2 linked regions of the Drosophila melanogaster genome follow. The protein of the gene in region 1 purifies or fractionates together with the protein of each later gene. This does not show direct contact. Each region holds a gene or a part of one and is shown on either strand. Other genes may lie near its edges. The genes, in order: CG6610 and CG10418.

Evidence for each region.
Region 2: the proteins of CG6610 (region 1) and CG10418 purify together in Drosophila melanogaster (affinity purification with mass spectrometry, with the first as the bait; one large-scale study listed by BioGRID). This does not show direct contact.

What each region holds. Positions count from the first base shown.
Region 1 is NT_037436.4:6,070,114-6,080,615, reverse strand, and holds CG6610 (uncharacterized protein), read right to left. Parts: upstream 5,081-10,502; 5' UTR 4,977-5,080; coding exon 4,928-4,976; intron 4,856-4,927; coding exon 4,659-4,855; intron 4,594-4,658; coding exon 4,564-4,593; 3' UTR 4,358-4,563; downstream 1-4,357. Other genes in the region: ssp6 (short spindle 6), read right to left, coding at 1-1,274, 1,335-1,697, 3,271-3,576; CG13295 (uncharacterized protein), read left to right, coding at 5,499-5,583, 5,644-6,068, 6,127-7,074; CG6602 (uncharacterized protein), read right to left, coding at 7,162-8,472; CG42269 (uncharacterized protein), read right to left, coding at 9,245-10,395.
Region 2 is NT_037436.4:12,328,476-12,338,880, reverse strand, and holds CG10418 (uncharacterized protein), read right to left. Parts: upstream 2,206-10,405; 5' UTR 2,167-2,205; coding exon 2,164-2,166; intron 2,103-2,163; coding exon 2,035-2,102; intron 1,972-2,034; coding exon 1,755-1,971; 3' UTR 1,645-1,754; downstream 1-1,644. Other genes in the region: Lmx1a (LIM homeobox transcription factor 1 alpha), read right to left, coding at 3,462-3,721, 3,796-4,674, 8,628-9,411.

The sequences.
Region 1 (10,502 bases):
CGGGACTGAGCCGTCTCACTTGTGGGATCCCAAAACAAAGTATCCGTACTTATGGATGTGGTATATGAAGCTGTGTCTCCTGTAGCAAACTCACTTGAGGTGCAGGAATGTAAGCTACAGTGGCTGGCTAAGCCGGATGCCAAGTCGAAGTAGCGGGATCGGGTGCTACCACTTTGGGATTGCACCTGGCAGGGATTGTGCATCTGGTGGGGATAGTGGTGGTGGTGCGGAACAGTCTGAATGGGCTGTTGTTGTTGCTGCTGCTGTTGTTGCTGCTGCTGCTGCTGTTGTTGTTGCTGTTGTTGCTGCTGCTGCTCATGGCTATGATGGTGATGATGATGATGGTGGTGATGTCCAGATCCTGCACCCCCGTTGGCATTGGGTGAGGCATGGGATGTGGACTTGGGTCTGACCCTCTGCTCCTTGCTCTCCACCCGTTCCCTGTCACGATGTTTGTGCTTATGCGTGTGCTCCTTATGCTGCCGATGACGTCTTCTTGATGGCACACAATGTGTATCGCAGCACGGACTGGCCAGATCATAGGCATCCAAGCTCACGTTATCCGGCGCCGGAACAGCTGACTTCTCCGCCGACTTCCAGCGAAAGTGACCCAAGCAGGGATTGCACGAGTGTCCCACATGGCAATGCTTGCCCGATGACTTTTCTTTCTCTGGCTTTGGTGGCTTAGCAGGTGGCTTGTGCTTTTCACAGGTGCGAGGAGGTGGTGCGGGTGGCTTCACCGATCCACCCGTGGTGCTGTGATATTGGGTAGGAGCCGTTGTTGTGGGTTGAGTCATCGAATTTGCATCCACAGATTCGGTTTGCTGGAGGACATAGCGCTGTGCCGGCGGCTGGTGATCACTACTGCTCCGCTGAAGACCCAATCCGTCAACGAATTCCTCTGAGCTGCCGTGCGTGGGTCGCAGGACGTAGCGGTATGTGGGATCCAGGTAGTGGTAGGTGAGCATAAATTGAGCGGGAGGAGGTATGATTCCTGGGCCACCGACCCCATGCTGGCGGGCGGCAATATTGGGCACATCCTCGGTGGACAAAGCGGGTCGGTAGAAGCCAGCTTCACCAGCCACCTCTGTGGGTGATACTCCTTCTCCATCACTGGGCGAAGTATTCGCATTGGCCTTCTTACGCGCTGGCAAACTGTGCGTTTTCCACTTGCCCTCCAATAACTCACGCTCTCTGAGGTGTACCCTCTCCAGTTCGTTCATCTTTTGCTGCAACATGCTCTGCAGTTGGATGTAGCGCATGTGGAGATCCACCTGGGGAATCACACGTTTATCAGAAATACGTTTTAGTTTTCTATCCTTTAAATACTTTACCTTCCTCACACAGTCCTCGAAAAGCACTACCATTCTCATCCTGGTGTCGCATTGCTTGATGAACTCGACGATGGTCTTGTGGTCCGCCTTCTCCATATCTTTTCCGTTAATGGAGAGGATTACGTCTCCCTCACGCATGCCAGCTCGATAGGCCGGACCTCCGTACTCCACGTAGTCCACGTATGTGATCATTTCCAGCTCCTCATCCCGTTTGTAGTGGATCCCGTAGCTCTGCAGCGTGAATCCATACGAGTTGTTCTTTTTCTCAACGATTATGGTGCGACGTCTTCGGTCCTCGTCCGGATTGGAGGCCAGATATCGCTCGGATTTGTGGCGCCCAAGGATATGGGTAGAACGGGATAACTGGAATGTCATTAAATATTAAACGTGCATAATATGTAATATTGTACAATAATATGGAATTCCTTTAGCAAGAACGCAATTCTCTATAGCAATTCAAACCACATTGGCCATTGGAGAGCTGTGCTCTCTATCTGTGAAAGGAATGTGTTGATTTGCGGTGAAAGTGAAAAGCTTATATGCTAAACTATCGTTGGCACTTCCGGGTATTTGCACGTCTAGGCAATGTGGCACACCAAATAGCCGCCAGGTGTGGTGGTGCAAACCATCAAAATGATGTTTGCCAAGCCCATTCCTTCGTCCCTACTGTTCTTCCTGCTTTTATTGAAAGCATTTCTATGAATACAGGATGAAGCCCCCAGCAGGCAACACTTTCACTGCCCCCCCGAAAGGAAAGCGGGTTAGATAGGGAAAAGCAAACCAACCCAGAATACAGGTACGGACAAAATAATACCATGCAAGCCATTTCCACGGATTAACAAGTTGGTAGTAGAATAAAACAAAAAACAATATTTGTAAGATAGTCAAGCTTAAAGTTTCGGAAAAGTTCATGGTATAAACAAGTGTACTAATAATATTTTTATATTTATATCGATGACACCTATTTTTAGATACAACATGCTAAGTATAGAGACACAGCACAGTTCTTTCATTAACGCTTTTTTGTGCGGGCGTAATAACTGGCTTGAAAGGCTTTAGAACAGACCTCCCGCCGACTATAATGCCATCGGCAAGGAAGAGCAAATTGTATGGCATTATGTACAGAAATACAGTGCCCGTTTTAAATGAAATTGTAAAGATTTTCATTAAAAAAGAAAACGCGGAGAAAATGAGTTAGAAAACTATAAAAAAAATGGTGCACGAATTCATCGTTTCTGCCTTATGAACGGTTTAATTCATTTGAGTATGTAAGTTTAATTCCATTAATTCTAGTAAAAACTGTGTTTAGGTGTAGTCCTCAAATTAAAGCTGTATTAACTGCATTCATTTTTATATTGTGGCTCATATCGTGACTTTAGTAGAAATTTTGACCGAGCTCCCCATTAATGGTGCTGTAAATATGGCATGCTCGCAAACATGCCCCTTTCATTTAGTGACCCATAAATTAATCCAACTGGTTAATTTTTCAAATTGCCTTGGCCAAAGTCAAGGCCCTTGCAGGGACTAAGCTGCTCGCAGGGTGTACGATATATTTCAATATATGACTATTTCCGGGGCATTGAATTATTAACACTTGATCGACGACGGCGGTTGTTGGCGGCTGTTGAGGTTGCCTGGCGAAGCGTAAACTATGCATAACGACCCGGCTGGTGGGTTAAACAGCTGTGGGGGCAGCAAATGCACTGGGATGGGAGCTAGGTTGCGCAAACCACCCCCAAGTACACCCACTCAACAAGGCAGCAAGCAACCACCATCCATCACACACCACCCAACACCGCCACCACCCACAAGACAAATTCAATTGAGCCAGCAGTGCAGGACCTTGTCGCATTATTATGACTCAGTGTGGGGCACAATTGAATTCAGTTGGAGACGATTCCGACTAGCAGTTGGATACTTGGCCACTTGGACATACCTGCGCATACTCGATTTCCTCGTCGCTGGCATCGAGACTCTTGTGGAACTTGAGCCTGCCCAAGCTGCCGGTGCCATTGACATAGTGCGACGCTTGCTGATGGCTCTGATGATAGAGGTGTTGCTGCTGGGACTGGGAATAGTGCTGGTGGGGATGTGGCTGCTCCTGCTGGCAGGCGGCGGCGATGAGGGAGCCTACAGAGGTGGCATTGGAGGCCGAGATGGACACCGCTGCCGCCGTGGTGGCCGCACTGCTGGCCGCCGTCGCAATGCTTTGGCAGCTGGTGCTCATGGGCTTGCTGGCCATCCTCCACTTATTGATTTCTTCACGCAGTCATAATTACAGGCGGATCATTCGAGCCGCTCAAATGAGACACCGACAGATACAGATACCGAAACACGGGTATCTTTCGCTGCAAAACCGGACAACCTTCACCACTGAAGTTCACACATCGACTGTGGCTGCTGCTAGATGACTGCAATTAGTCATGGCCATTCATAAAGTTCACTCCGAGTTGCGTTTATCAGTGCTATATCGGTTCTGGGTAAAAGTTTTCCATATTCGAGTTCGGTTCGGTTTTGTTGTCGCGTGAGTCTGTTTCCGCTTGGTTTGTTCCACTTCCGTCGAAGCCTGCTGCCGTACTGAACGCTGGAGGTGCCGAACGGAAGCGGGAGAACGCACGCAGAGCAGAGCGGTACTGCGGAGAGTGCACTGCACCCACACGCACGGCCAGAAGGGAAAAGCGGTTAATATTTATGGCACATGTTGACTGCTGTATCGCTGAGACCCAACATTTTGGGGATGGAGCGCATGCGCCTACTTTGCATGGCAGCCAGAGCACAAGTAGCGGTTGAATGTTAACGGAAAGACACTAAATATTTAATGTGAAGTTTGAATTTTTGAAGCTTGGAAGTCATTTTACAGAATTATTAGCGGTCGACCTTTTTCGGTATTCCATTTCAAGTGTATCCGGTCCCTATAAGCATAAAATATGCTTATTTATGTAAAATTAATTCTATTCCAATTGATAATTTAACAATGTTTTGTATATTAGGTAATATTATATAGTGTTTTATTCTGAGATTAGAGGGCAAATAATTTTCATTTCCTAAGCCAAGCGTTTTCAAATTCGTATCTGTTAGGACCAAAAATCTGTTAACATTGCTGTTAATCACTTGACCACTGCTAACTTCTAACATACCTCGAACATTTACATACGACACAATATTATCCACATTAAAACGACCGTTTTGATATTTTACAAATGTATTTATGTTTACAAATGGAACCTTGCTACTCCGCCAGCTCTCCGCCAGGCACCAACTGAAATCAAATTATAAATGAAATTTAATAAACAAACGTATGTAACTTCGAAAAAGAGCACCCACCATTGTGATATTGTTCCCGTTGAGCAGAATCTGATCCAGTTTGGTGATGCGGCGGCCGTCGGGGGTATTTTCATACTCCGTTACGTCGTCCAAGAGCATATTCACAAAGTCATCGAATCCTAAGAGAGTTCCCACCATCTCCTTGTCGTTCTTCATGATAATGTGGATGCGGGAACCGATGCATTTGTCCACCAATTCTGTAGGGTAGTACGGGAAGCCGGCAAAAGTTAGAAACTCTCGATTTGTAGACCTGTAGCAGATTTACGTACCCAATGGCATTAGGGTAGAGATGTTGGAGGGGGGTGGAACGGCAGTCATGTTGTCGTATGATTTGTTTACTATTATTAACAATAATAATTGGAATTGCGCTAAAAACTTTTTAGCAGCGAGGTAAACAATGCGGAATTCTGCGCAAAAACTGGCCACATCAAAAGTGTCAGCGTCAGTGCTGCAAAATCTTGTGGATAGAGTTAGCGTGAATATAGCTAAACGTTTAAAATTAATTAAAACATTTGTTTTCGTTGAAAACTAATTAATTTATTAATTACAAACTCATTAAAACTTTTTTATGACAAACTTATCAAGATTAACTATTTTATCGCAAGAATTTAAAGAACAATTTGTCAACATGAGGGACCTCAAAACACCCACCCAAACAGCCACCACTATTACCCAGATAGTAATGGATATTTGGCATTCAGTGCCGCGGTCCTACCAATTTTACCTCATAATTCAAGATCAGGAGTTATATATCCAAAATCTTAATCTCGCGGCAGTGCTCCCGTATGTTGGCCATCTGTGACGCGGTGCAGTGTTGTGCTGCCGCCCACTGCTTACATAATGTCCATGTCGTTGGGCTCCAAGATCCGGAAATTGGTCACCAGCAGACGGCACTTCCTGCTTTTGCGCCGATCGCTGAACCAAGGTCAGTTGATTTGAATGCGCCACAACTTTTGGATGATCATGTGATTGGGCGCTTTTGCAGATCTGACAACGGCGCTGAGACCCTTCTACTTCGCGGTGCATCCTGACTTCTTTGCCCAGCATCCGGAGCAGAGGAACACCAACGAGAACTCACTGAAATTGCTGAGTGAGCATCTAGAGGCTTTGTATGAACGCAGACAGCGAAGCGGGGACACCCAAGTGCTCAAGTTCTATGTACGCACCAGTTCAGATGCTGACAAGCGAGACTCCTTCAAGCTCATCCAAATACGCACGGACTGGCAGAGTACCCGAGATCCCAAAACCTTTATTCAAGGTCTTCTGGAGTCATGCAACTTGTCCACGGAGTATGTGAAGAACATTAAGGCCCAGCCTGAGCCGCCAAAAACCTCTGGCTTGGATTTTAAACCAAGCCATGACTATCACTATGACATGGAGTTCGCCGAGTTTGAAACTCAGTTGAAGAATGTTGGTATATAATTTTGAAATTTAAAAAACCATTTATATACTTATTTCCTTAACCCAGGAACGTGCCAGTAAGCGTCCAGTGCTGACCACCTGGCTGGAAGAGAATGCTGGCACAGCCAAACAGCGCTCTAAGGAAACTGCGGATCTGCAGGCCGAAATCGACAAACTGAAAAAAATGCTGGTAGAGAAACTGGAGTTGCAAGATGCTCGTTACGAGTGCGGCTGGAACATTGAGCACTACCGTGGCTGTTTAAAGACCCTTGAGCGACTATCCAACACCCATTTGTTGGAAATGGCTTCCCTGAAAGGTCGCATAGTGGTTTTTGCTCCCTTTACGGGCATCAGTTTAGAAGGCCATGTGATGCTTTTTACTGGTGATGTTCTCAGCACATGGATTGACTTCATCAAGAACATTCCGCACCACGATGCCTATTTAAAGGTGGTGCCCGTGTATGAACGAACACTGTCTCAGGTTCTACTGAACATCCAGATAGGTCGTCGCAAGTTTATGCCCAAACAACAGGCAAGTGGCTATGCAAGCTACCTCATGAAGGTCACCACTTCGCTCAGCGATTACCTGGGCAAACAAAAATATCCGCCGGAATGGCCGAAAACGCTGAAAGAGTTTACCATAGTGGTGGAATCAGAGGCAGGTCCTCTGATGGTAAGCCCTACGGGCCAGTTTATCACACCAGCCACCTGTCCGGGATCCATACTCGTAGACTTCATCAGTGTAAATCTGGAGCTGGCCAGGGAGCGTATGAAGAAGTACGCTCAGGACAAGCACATCGAGCAGGAGCTGATGGACTCGTGCATAAAGCAGCTACAGTTGCAATCGCTGACCAAAGATGATGCCATAACCCCGGATAAAATGATAACATCCCTTAGAGATTTATACCAGCTTCAGTTGAAAGAACTGCAGGGATGCAAGCTTCACATAACCCACTACTATTCGGTACTGACCGACGGCGTTGTGTGCATACCCTGGGATTTTCTGCAGAGGTAGTTGGATTTTCTCATGTGCCTTATTAGTCAAAATAAACATAGTAATAATTTATAGTTATTATGGTCTGAAATCCCTTCTCACTTCCAGTTAAGCGGCATCGCTGCAGTCTTCGAGGCTCCAGGTGCACTCTGCCTGATGAGCTGAGAACTCCGATGCATGTCTTGTGTAGACGTGATGCTCCTCGCCATCCCAGTGCAAAGGATCGCCACCGCACAGAACAGAGTTTTCAGTGGCAGCATCGTAAAAGGCAATCCCTCCATTTCCATATACCACTCTCCACCAGTTAATGTTGGGTCGGCTGTAAACGTTTTTGGTAATCGAGTTGGTTGCATTGCTCGCAATTGCAGTGGCTGGTTCCATGAGGATGTAGCGACTACGCCAGAAGGCACTATAAAAAGCAAATTGCGGCCGGCTGTCGTTACTGTGACCACGTTGGATGAAATACGCAGCCTTCTTTGGATCTCGAGCGTTACTGCAGATGAGGTACGTCTGCGGGCATTCGTAAATGTACGAATTTTCTTCAGTCACATTCCGGATGCATACTTTTCGAGCGGTGTACAGCAGTTGCTCGTCTTTCGGAAGGTGTGCATAGATTTCCGATTGGAGGGATTTTGCAACTTCTTTTTCAAACCCAGGCTGCGAAAGCAAATTTCTGATGTTGCTCTGCAGGGCCTTTTGCACTTCGGGATTTCCACGTTTGAGTTCCTCCCTGCTAAGTAATTGAAGATTAGCTTGAGCCAATTGCCTCAAACTAGCCGTTAAATTTCCCAGGCGCTGCACTACACTTAAAGGTGTTTCTAGGGCCAAAACAGCATCGTAGAGAACTTCCAGAATGTCTCTCAGATAATCCAAAGTGCTGAATGTTAGACGATTGACCAGAGAGTTTACCAATGGAAAAGTGGCCAATCGACTGGCTGTGTGAAATGGAGCTTCCAATAACTGGGCACTTCGGCTGATGAAAGCCCGGTAAATATGATCCATAAGTTGGAGTGGAACATCAGTGTGCACAGCCAGCTGGTCATAAAATTCTAAAATCTTTAGGGGATCGTAAATCTGCTTGGTCTGCTGGAGCTCCTTCCACAACGCTGTGTAAATAGCCTGCTTGAGCTCCAAAGTTCTGGCTTGATTCGCTAATTGAAGGACTAGCCTACCCCGCTCCCAGTCACCTCCAACTTCAGAGCGAATTACTGATTCCAGGTTGGAAGAAGTTGGATTATCCTGGGCCACAGCAGCTGCCTCATTTCGCCAGACATCGATGTGGTATAGCAACTCTTGAACCGGAGCAGATGTGTTGAGAACCGTCAAGAGTTTGCTACTGCTATTTTGTAAATTCAAATCCAGGGCGCCAGAAAGGCCAATGCCCATGAGAAGGACTAGCCAAGCGGATGAAGATGCCATTTTGGCTGTACTGGTTGGATGCACTCGAATGGTGACGCTTATATAGGTAAGTGGAGAATCGGTACTTATTTGTAGTTCAATCGGATATTTACATGGGGATTTGGTTGTTGACCCTTGTGCCAATAAATGCATACAACGTTTAATTGCATTTTGCACTTGCAGAGAAGCTGATAAACACAATGATCATAAACGGTTAAGCGTGTATATATTGCATAACTTTATCGGGGCTTTTCGTTAAAATAGCCGAAAAGATGTACTTAGAGATGGTGATCTAAATTAGAAACAAATTTATGGAGGTGTTTATTTTTATTAGTGTTACCATTTTTATTATTAGTATTTTATTTGAATTAATAAAGTATAATTTGTTTTTTTTTTATAAGTTAATCGTTTTAATACTATTAATTTATTCTTGGGCTTATTTTTAAAATTTTAGCAAATGTAAAATGTTTCTAGAGTTTGTAAGGTTCGAAGCCGAATTTGATTTCCGGTTTAGAACCCGGGTTCTGTAACAAATTTCGTTATTAACATGCATTTTACCTACTTCTTACCCTCATTATACCCGTTTCTCGTTGAGTGATAATTGGGGAACTGGACTTTTGGTTCTTTAATATTTTTAATTTATTTATTGTTTGTAGAGGCGCATAGAATTTCTTATTTCTAGTATCACAAAAGTCTATAACAACACTTAGAGGCTATTTGATGCTAAAAATGCAAGGTAGATCTATAGAATATTGGCTGCTATAAGTAACAATTAATTACCTAGTCGTACATCTTAGAGCTTTGTGGAGTTGCGTGACTTGGTCGATCTGCGCAGGATGCTAGATCTCAGTTCTCCACCCGTTGAGGCATTCAGGGATGCTCCAGTCTGGGTTCCCCTCACAAAAGCCTGAGATCGGACCTCCTCCACGTCGGCGTTTCTCTTTTCATCCTCATCGTCGTCCACCTGTTTGGCCAGACAGGGGAAGTCCCAAATGCTTTGTCCACGTCCAAACTCCTCACCGTCGCTAAGGGTTTGTGGCAGGACATGATTTAGGGTCTCCGGCAGTAGGAGCGCCAATAAGCCACCAATAATTCCTAAAATTCCAAGGATAATCAGTGGCAGGGCTTGGGAAATGTTGGCCAGATAAACCACAAATGGTGCTATGATGCTGGCCACATAACCCATGATATGGATGAAGGCCACTGCCTGCGCCCTAACCACAGTGGGCAGGACCTCCGCCGCCCATTGCAAACCAATATTATAGCTAATGTTTACAAAGAATCGACCCATGATGGCCAAGGCAGCGGAGTATATGCCCACGGGCACCACAGTGGCCAATAAGCTGAACACTCCACTAAGGACCATGGAGCTGCAGGCCAACCAACGGCGTCCGAACCGATCCAGGATCACCGTAAGCAAAGTATCGGCGGGCAGCTCCGTGAAACAGGCCAGGGTGAAGGTGAAGAAGATGTCCAAACCCAGTGATCCCACATTCCTCACATGTCCATCGAAGACTAGGGATATGGCCATCCAGATAACAATAAGCAGCAGAGTAGTTCGCCGCAATCTTGGTGACTTAAAGAGATCCAGTACAGAGTATTTGCCATTCTGGGCCTCCTGCTCCTGCATCCTCTTACAGCTGTCCGTAAAGATTTGATATGTCTGAGGGGGCACCTGACGCCCATTGCCCTTCTCAAGTTTCTTCAGGATTCCCACGGCCTTGTCCACTTTTCCCTGGGAGACTAACCAACGAGCTGATTCGGGTACCACGAATGGGGTGAATATAGCCAAAAGTAGCGGAGCAGAGGTCACGATGGCCAGGAGTTTCCAATCTGCCAAAAAGTAGGCAATCCAGGGAAGAAGGCAGGCGGCTCCAGTGAAGAAGATAGCGATCGACATATTGGCCACAAAGGTGCGGTACTTGGGACCAACGTACTCGAGAACTGGAAAGAAGTGAAACACAAACAATAAACTCAGTCTAGCATTATTTTAAGAGTTAGCTGGTTCTACATTATGTCAGACAAATTTTAATAACTCCACAAAAAGAGGT
Region 2 (10,405 bases), 6.3 Mb from region 1:
CTATTCAATTTGGCCAAAAAGCCCCCGGAGATGTACGGATGATTCTGGAAATTCCGCAGGATTAACCACGCACACACATGTGTGTACATGTGTCATTAGAGGAATCCAGTGCATGCTGCGTATCCCTCGGAACGGCTTAGCTTCCATCCCGTTTGCATATTCATGTGCGCACTTTGGTGCGTACTTATGTATAAATAATCTGTGTCAAATTTGTATAGTTTATTTTTTAATAAAACCCGAATGATCCCAGCGTAACTTTACGAGCTAACTTTTACGCGCCACGCACAGCTCAACACGTTGATGAACTAGGACGTACTGCAGCATGTGCCCCATAAATCCCCCAGAGCTCACATCCACCCGCCGGAGCACGGGTATATTACAAAATTTTTATGTGCGCCACAGGCTGAGGTCGCCCTCCCCACTCCACCATAGCGATAGGCCAGAAACGAGGACACTTTTCCCTTTGCCAGTGCCACCCATTCCGAAAATAGAAAGTCCGATGCGGAGAAAAACTTTCTGGCCCAAAATGCAAAACAATCTTTGCGAGCCGGAGTCGGACGAACAATGCGATGCGTCTCGAAATCTCAATTTAGAAGCTGCGCCGGAAACAGGAACCCAATTACCACAAATAATGAAAGATGGACTCCGCTGGGCTGGACTTAACTTCCCCCTTCAATTATGCGCAGTCAGACGAGCTACGAGTCCTTAGCACTGACCAAAAAATTCTGACTATAACCATTCAAAAATGTAATAAAAAAGGGAGGATAATTTCAGCGATAAACTTCCGGTTTCTGGTACCATTTAAATTCAATTAAGTGGAATATTACAAGGTAAAGATTCTGATGTCAAGCTATTTTTTTTTAATAATGACATCAAGCTTAAAAAGGAATATATGTTGCTAAGCGAACTAGCTTAGGATGGCAATAATTTGTTTATAAAAATTCTATTTACAATCAAATTTGGTAACATTATATTCGAAGTAGCTATGTTTTTTTTCTGCCTGTAGCCCTTCAACTTTTAATGGATCGATATTTCGTGATGTTCCGCTGACCAACTGCCAAAGTTTAGAACGCGATTCCCTGGCCATTCCGAAATGTAAATGCCGAGCGAAAAGTGTTCCACGAATGCGTATTTTATTTTAAGTACGAATTCCAGCAAACAAAGCCATTCGATGGCGGCTGGCGAAGAGGCACTTAAGGAGCGGGTCGAGGTCCAGAAAATTAAAAGCATTCCGCCAGGCTCCTCCATTTTATTGCGGATAAAAGGTTGAATTCGAGGGCCGGGCCATAATAGCAATCACAATCGTAAAACGGGCTGCAAGTACATACGAGTATAGTCGTGTGATATAGCAACCCATTGTGGAAACCTTGTATGAATGAGTCCGTGTATCCGGTGATGTGTAGACAAGGCATCCAGACATTCAGACAGCCAGTACATCGTCACAGCAATTATACAAATTTATGGACCATTATCAACATGACACAAAATTTGGCCCACAAGCCACACTTGGCTCTACTGGCTCCATTCAAGCGTGGAGCGATAAAAGCTGGGACATTTGCGCAAGCGTAGGGAGCAGCACCCACGGTAACCTCGAGACTGACTCATCGAAAACTGATGGGCCGTAAATAACGTACATAGCGACTTAATACGGGGATTCCTCTTATTGGTTTTGCTTTAACAGAATTTCACTTAGGTTTTTAGGACAGTTTACGAAGCAATGGGTAGATCCAATTGGGCTGCTGGTAGTGGTATTCTTATCTTGTGCTCACAACAGCCTCCTTTCGCGCCGCATCCTGGAGCAGCTGGGTGTCCACCTCGTCGCCCGGCAGCTGCACGTATCGCACCACGGAGCCACGGATGAAGCAGTTCTTGACGCTCAGCATGTGGGGGTACTTGTCCGGATCTGTGACACTGATATCCGTCAGCTTGATGTTCAGGTACTGATCCACCGAGTGCAGGGTGCCACATATGCTGTTTAATTATAAAGAAAGTATTAAAAATTCCTCAATTTACCGGCAAATAAACGAATCTCACCTGAGGTCGTTTTTCAACTCCACAACGACTTCCTTGCCCACCAGCGACTTGAAGAAGGAGTAAAAGAGCTGCAGATTACATAAAGCGTTAATGTTAATTCTTAAATTCACAGTTATTTCGGTTTTGTACCATTGTTATTGTTTATTGCAATTTCGACGAACGCGTTGTTTTTTTTTAGAGATGTGCACTGTAAAAATAAAAAACTATCGATCGCTGTTTTAAAAAATACATATCGATACATTTCATGTGTGATTGTGAGTAACGATATTCTATTAACATTTGGCTTATAAATATTACTTTCATAAAATTTGATCAAAAATTAATGTATATTAAATCTTTAAACTGTGTGGCTTAAAAGGAATTAAGCAGTAGCTGAGCTGCCATCTGTTAATTATTTCTATCCATGTGGCAACGCTTTGTCGTCGCTATTGGTCGAGTTTCATAAAAGCCAGCTTTGTACGGGCAGCATTTTGGCGGGCAAAAAAATATGGTTTTTAAATAATATATTTCGGTCAATTTATGAAGCTTTACTAAGGCATTCATAGTATTCACAAAAAAAAGGTGTATATATTCGCAGTCGAGTAAATACAGTAAACGCAATAAGTTTTCTTTTTAGTTATTGTGCTCTTTATTTATTATCAAGCATCAACGCATCTTAAATGGATTTTTCGATAATACGGCAAATAAAAAATTTAAAATAAATTAGGCTGTGTAAATAAATACGAAATAAATAAATAAATATTCTTACAATTATATAAAAAAAAAATTAATTTTTTAAAATAAGAGACGATATTACCGATAAAAGACGAAGGATAAAAAATAAGAAATAAAGGAAAATCATGCGAAATAAAAATATTAACAATCGCAAGTCAATCCCAACCCATTTAAAATATTGAACGCATCCGTTAATTCGAAGATAAGATCCACAGACATTTGCAAGAATTCGGTTAAGATGTATATTTTAGGGGAACAGATTAAATTGCACTTGCTAATACAATTATTGACTTTTAAATTACATTTAATAACAATTTTCTCGGGTGGTTAAAACTATTTACAAACATAAGAGGGCGCATTGACCACTTTGCCATTTCTCAAGGAGTTATACATTTTTTTTTTTGGTTTGCCTCTAGAGTCTATACCAACAAAAAGATGTGCTGCCCGCCCCGTTTTTCTGCGCCTTCAAATCGCCAAGAATCTTAAAATTTCAATTAGCTTAAAAAAATCACATTTGATGTATCTTGTATCCGGTTCTACGACTCCAACTTAATGCGCCGAATGCGGAAGGTGCCAACTACGCGCTACGTTTTAAAGTAACAGCAAGGACCTCGCGTCCCTTTTCCATCGGATCCTGCCACTCTAACGCTAATAAATTCGTCTCTATCCCACGATCGCCTCGGTGCTTCCCTGTCATTCCAGCCAATGGCCATCTAATGCTCCGAGCTGAAGTACGAGTTCTGCATGAGATACAGCTTGTCGATGGGGTTTATCAGGCTGTTGTTCAGGTTGGCCAGCATGTCGTGGGGATTCGAGTGGGAGTGCGAGTGCTGGTTGCCCGACGAGCTGGTGGACTGCAGCTCCAGGTTGTTCAGCGACAGCGAGTCCGCATCGTCATCCAACTGGTCAAAGTTGCTCCCATCCAGCGAGAGGTCCGAGCTGCAGAAGCTGTCATTCGAGTTGGCCGGATAGTCTGTTGAAAAGCAAGCCATTAGTACTTGTAGAATAATGCTTGGACGAAATCAAACTTCAAATCGAACCACTTACCATCCGGTGAGAAGGGCAAATTGGGATTCAGCGGCTGGCTGGCGAAAGTGCTGTCCAATCCACCCAAATAACCGGAGCTATCTCCTCCGAGCTCCTGCTTGACGCACTTGTCCTCCTTGTCATTGGTGTCCTTATCGTCGGTGGCGCTGGAATTGCCCGTGCCACGCCCACTGCCCGATCCTCCGCCGGAGCCACCATTCTGCTTGGCCTTGCGCTGAATCTTCTTCATCTTGGCGCGCTGATTTTGGAACCACACCTGCACTACACGAACCGATAGGCCGGTGTCCTTGGCCAGGGCTTCGCGCACTTTGCGACATGGTTTGGGTGACTGATCGAAGGAGGCCTTAAACTGTTTGCGCTGCTGCGATGTGAGGATGGTGCGTGGTCGTTTCGGACCTCTCCTTCCATCCCGTGGCCTCAGCAAATCCTCCTCGTCCAGGCCAACGAACCCACAGTGCTGAGCAGCAGCGGCTGCCAGAAACATCTCCTTCTCCAGATCGTGACGATAGCAGAAGAGCTGGCCATCGCGCAGCATGAACTGCTCGCCCTTCTGGAGCGGCAATCGGCAGGCGTAGCAAACGAAGCAGGGCAGGTGGAAGACAAAGTTCGGTATGGGTCGCATTACCAGCTCCTGCGGCAGGATCGCATGGCAGCAGGAGGAGCACTTCACACCGAACAGCCGGTCGTAGTCCATCTTGCAATAGAGTTTCGAGTTGCGCACGTAGCAGGTGTGGTGCAGCTGCATTCCGCAGTAGCAGCAGGCCAGGCACTGCTCGTGCCAGTTGGCATCGCCCACGTTCATCAGGAATCGGTCATGGATCTTCTGGCCACAGCCCTCGCACAGCTCGAAGTTCTTCTCGCACTTGATGTGGCCCACTTCTGGGGATGAAACAAGCAAAGATGGGGGAAAAAAGTCGCGTTAGTAAGTCGCAGAATACATTTCAAGTAACTAATACACTGAGGTTTAAAATATAATAAATATATCTATCTACATTAATAATCAATTTAATCGAATATTTAACCCATACTTGGAAAATATATATGAAACATTTTCTTGAGAACAGAAATATTTCAAAGAAGAATCCTAATACTTTAGTAATTTTGTTCCAGTGTAACTCCGCTTATTCGCCCTACTGTGATGGGCGTACGTGGCGTATACGTGATGGCGGCACATGTCGCTGCGAAATTATCATGACATGTGCTGCCAATGGAGCAAGGAGCGCGCTGACAATCGAATCGTGTGAAAATGCTTCAACGTCTCTCTTGTTTTTCCGTTCGCTGTTTCGCACTTTCGATGGAAAAACAGAAGGAAAACTCTTCGCTGGAAAAAATTATCTGTCGTCGGACTGCAACAGCTTGTATTGAAAGCTTATTGATGCGTAATTGAAACGTAAAGTTTTCCGTATTTGTTCGGTATTATTGAACAGCCCCCCATCTCGATTATCAATGTATATAAACATGCCAGAAAATGGCTCAATTGATATTGTATATACCACCGAACTTAAGCCAAAGCTTAACTCCTAAACAAAGTCCCTTAAAAAATGCTAATCTCCCATTGAGGAGCTACTGGATTTCAGCTCGCCTTACCCAAAGTAGAACGAACCTAATCCTCCCGTAGACGGAGCTCTTGAAACTGTAAACCAGTCATAAAAAGTAGTACCCGAAAAACACAACAAAAGCTGCATGCAGTAAACATAAAAAATATATGACGACCGCCACGAAAAATGTATGGAAGCATTTGAAAAATGAGCAGCGAGTTGGGAAAGTGCGGAGGGAAAGTGGAGAAAAAGTGCGGAGGGAAACTGGCAATGGAAGTGGAGTGTTATATTATATGGCTGTGGCTCAGTGGCAGAAAAATGTGCATGATTTATGGTTGGCACAATGGCCTCCCCACACACACAAACGCACACAGTCGCCATATCTACGCGAATGTGGCTGTATGGGTGATATATAGTCTGGGAATAGGGACGAAAATCCCTATGTAAGGGGGCGCTAAGCCAGTGCAGCGGAAAGTTGACAATGTCCTCGGGCATTTTCCTATTTTCCTTTTTTTTCTGTTTTTTGGCTTGCATTTCATCCTATTGTGCAGTATCCATATCCAATCGCATTGGCGATAAAGGTTTTTGCATGGGCCGAGCAAAAAATCAAGAATGATTCATTTGATAAACCCCAGAGGGGAGCTGCGTTTTGAGTTTGGCCTCATGTTTTTGTAGAGCTTTGAGCATCGATATTGTGACGGGATTTCGTTTGTGTAATCTAATCGAAATTTATGGCATTTTACTGCAGTTTTATGTATGCTTTTTTTCCGATTTCTCTGTATTGTTTTGGCCAACAAAGGACTCTGCATTGAGTGAGTGTGTGTTTTTGGGCTTGAATGGTAAAGCCTGGGCGAAACTTGTCCAAAAATCAACAAACAACAAGCGCAAACAGTCGGAACAAGTGCGGCACACTCATGTCAAATACATAGATTAAACAGCAGATAAATCCAAAATCAACTCGACGATAAACATAGAACTAATAGAGAAAAGTGTCCTCGTCGTTATCGCCGATAAAGGGGCTTATCTGCCCGAACGCCCCACGATTGTCGCACTATATGGTGCATTTATTGACACATTGACAGCGGGGCGGGGTTATATGGAGATAAATCGGCAGACAGCACCCAACTTCTGGCACTAATTCGGCCACTAACTGGAGTCCAGTCCACGTGCCACGCGGATTTTGGCAGCAGTTCATCGTTGACAGGCAGCTCATAATTCGACAGCTTTCATTTCGACTGACAAACAAACAGGGTCTTTAAAACTCTTCGTTGCTATCTACACCATGGAAATGGTATTAATCATAATATAAAATAATGAATAAAATAGGATGAACTTCAAAAACTACTCTTTTAAAATGTAAGATACAGATTTAATCAAATTACAAATAGGGATTGCAAAATATATTGACTTTTGCATTCTAAACTCAAATGTAGTACTCTTTGTGAGTTCCAGTGGATTTTCCGTATAGTTCTTGAATAGCAGTTTTGTTTCAGTGTAGCTGGATCTCAACGGAAAGTGACACAGAACTATGCGTATGGCGCATACTTCCGCCACACAAATGCACACCTACTGGCGATTGGGTGGGTGGGGTTTGTGGGTAGGACAGGAAGACGAAGCTGGAGCCACCGCAGAAGCCAAATATGTATGCTGATACGCTCGGTGGAATACCTGACACTGAGTGTGCTCATTTCCGTGGTCTGCCCCCGAGTGCACACCACCCCCAATGGCAGCCCATTCGAAATTCCTCGACCTCTGCAAAGTGTGGGCCACCGATAGTAGTTTAGCAGCCGGCATCCAAGTGTTTGCCGAGGAAAATGGAGCTTAGGATGAGAGGCGGGGAGTGGTGTGTGGATTGGGGTAGTGGCACGGAACGAGCGGAAACGGAAACTATTTGCTGCCATTTGGGCAATGGCAAATGGCAAATAGCAAATGGCAGAATGCGAGCATTAATAGAAATTTCATAGGCAAATGCAAAGTTGGCCGGCAAGAGAGCACAGCTATTGTGGGCGATTGAGTGGGCGGATGAGGGGCACTAAAAAACCGAAAACACAATCCACTTAGCCTCGGACGAGGTCTGGTCTGCATATGCATCACACACATTGTTTGCACACTTTGCATTTCGGAGGGAAATTCGCAAAAGTTTTCCCCAGCAACACTTTCGTTGCAACTCAGCTGAAAAGTGTTGCCTATTTTGAGGCTGTCATGCATGCGAGTGTGTGTGTATGTGTGCCTGCATGCCAAAGCATCAGTGTGTGTGTGTGTGTGTGTGTGGGAGGGAGGCAGTGTGTGGCATGCTTTAATAGCCTTTTATTGGTCGAGCCACGCCTCTTTTTGGCCGTGCCGGGCGGATGTCAGACAGGTTCATTGTCAAAATTATTTTGTGGTCAACTTGCGTTCATACTTTTGGAAATACTTTCGCCATGCTTGCCGCACATCCGCCCACTGAACTATCCACAACATGTGTGCGCCATCACAACTACAAATTCATAATTTATTGTCCTCTGTCAATATATATGTACGTGTTAGCCGGAAATTGTGCATTTGCTTTTGCCTGTTTTTACATAAGTGGACAATCTGCCTCTGGCTATTTCACTTGCTAAAAAGTAAATCCAACTCTTTGAAAGCTGAGTTGCAATTAAGTTCCAAGTTAAACATGGATTTATGCTAATATTGATACAATAATAATTAACAAAACCTATGATATATCTAACCAAATTGACTTTACTTGCATTCTGCAAACTAAAAGCAAACTAGTAACAAATAAGAACATTCTTATTTAATGTTTTTTAAATTATTATTTACTTTTGATTTTAGGCTAATTAATATGAAGAATACTTTTCTCTTATATTATTTTAATGTTATGAATATATACGCTAATTTTTACTGCAATCAATAAATGCTGAAATATTCCGCTTAAAGAAAAGTTTCAGGAGTAAACACCTTTTGAAATAAGCACTTCAACTTTATTCGCAAGAAAAAACAACGAATATCTATATATTTTCCCCTAGAGAAGCATTCCTTGGGCCCCAAAAAGCCGAGCACATCGCACGCAAACTGCCGGCATACTCAGGTGTGGGTGGTTGTACACAATCTGGAGCCTCGTCCGACCAGCTTGGAACTCACGCAGCGCAGCACCGAACCTGGACACGGATACGGATGCTGATGCGGATACAGAAACGGACCCGCAGGCCGGGCACACGCAAGTATGCCAAAAACGAAAAGCGTGAAAACCCCAGAAGAGGAACGAGCCGGTAAATTGCTCGACTGCCGGTGCAAAATACTTTTGGAACATACCTGTGCGTCCGCTGCAATCGGCAGACAATTTGGATGCCGCTGCTGCCGATGCCGTTGCTGCACCACCTCCATTCCCATTTCCATTCCCGTTTCCATTGCCATTGCCATTTCCGTTTCCGTTGCCACTGCCATTTGCATTTCCGCTTCCTGTGGCCGCTGGGCCCGTCGATGTGGGTGTCGTCGCAGCGGCAGCCGCCGCAGCAGCAGCAGCAATCGCCGCAGCAACTGCTCCGCCTAATTGCGAGGTGGCTACTGAGGTGCCTGCTGGCGATGGAGCTGCCACAGCAGCGGCAGAGGCAGCGGCAACAGCAGCAGCTGTTAATGTGTTGCAGGCTGAGTGGAGGTTGTTGCTGCTGCTGCCCCCGTTGTTGTTGTTGTTGTTATTGTTGTGGTTGCTGTTGCTGCTGCTGCTGCTGAGGGGGCTGTGTCCTGTGGGCGTGGGGCAGCTGTTAATTGGCACTGGCGTGGTCGAGGCAGCGTGTTGCTGCTGGTGTTGCTGATGTTGCTGGTGGGGGTGTTGCTGCTGCTGCTGATGTTGCTGCTGCTGGTGCTGCTGATGCTGCCCCGTTAATGAAGCCGTTGCCGTGGGACTATTGTTGCCGGAAATGCTTGTTGGCAGATTGTTGTTGCTATTGCTAAGATGCAGGGAGTTGCCGCTGCTGGCAGTCATGCTGCCGGGATTTGGATTGTCCAGGAATCGCGCGCCGCCATGATTCTGCTGCAGCGAGTACAAACTGCCACCGACTGGATTCAGATTCGTGGGCATTGGGTAGAACTCCAGCATCGTATACGAGTTGCCACAAAACACCGCTGTTACTTTTTTAGTTTCGAGTCTACGAAAATGTCACATGCAACACCGCACAAGGAACACGCGACACACAAACAAGACGCTCGATTGCTTTTGCTTTAACTTTAACTACGCTTCTGTTCAGTTTCGTTTAGAATATGATTTCGGTGGCCTATTCTTGCGCTGCCGAATGCGAGGACAACCAGCCGCGTTCGCTGTCAGTTGGCGTGTGATCGAACCATCAGCGAAATCAAAGCATTTCACTTTGCCCTCACAAAAAAAAAAAAAAATCCCAGCTGAAACGTACCCCCGCGCACTGCGCCTGCGCCTGTTTACAAAAGCAACGGAGCGACGGAGCAACGGAGCTGCGGAGCAACAACTGCCGCTTGGCCTGCGGCAACAACAGCAGCTCTTCGTGTTGCACGTGATGCCAGGGGTTGTATCGGTGCAAGGGTTGCAGCAACCCCCTCTCTGCCCCGGCAGTGCGCATGTCTCAAGTGATTATTAGCAGCGAGGGAAATTCTGGCAGAGAGCAAGTCCCTCGCAAATCGCTGGCCACACCTCAGCCTCGCTGCGATTGGCTGGCCATTTCCCCGGCGTCCATTTTGCCGCACGGCGCATGTGCGCAGGGGAAGTGCGGGTTTTCTTTTCTTTTGTTTTTTTTTATATTTGGTTTTCTCATATTCGTAGATGTCTTGGCTTTAATGCAAGACCAAGTCGGCTTGTGGGCGGCCATCGGTGGGCGTGCGGCAGCTGCATGTTGCTGGTTGTTGCTGGTGTTGCTGCCGCTGCTGCTGCTGCTGATGGGGCACAAAGACATACTTGCACTTGCACTCGCGGCAACTTTGGCGAGTTTGCCGCTCGACGGCGACAATTTCCTTGAGTTGTTGCTGCTGCTGCTGTTGGCTCTTTGAGTGGCACGACTGGACCAGAATGCCAGCAACAACAAAGGCAACAAACACAGCAGTGGCAGCAGTAGAGGCAGAAAAAA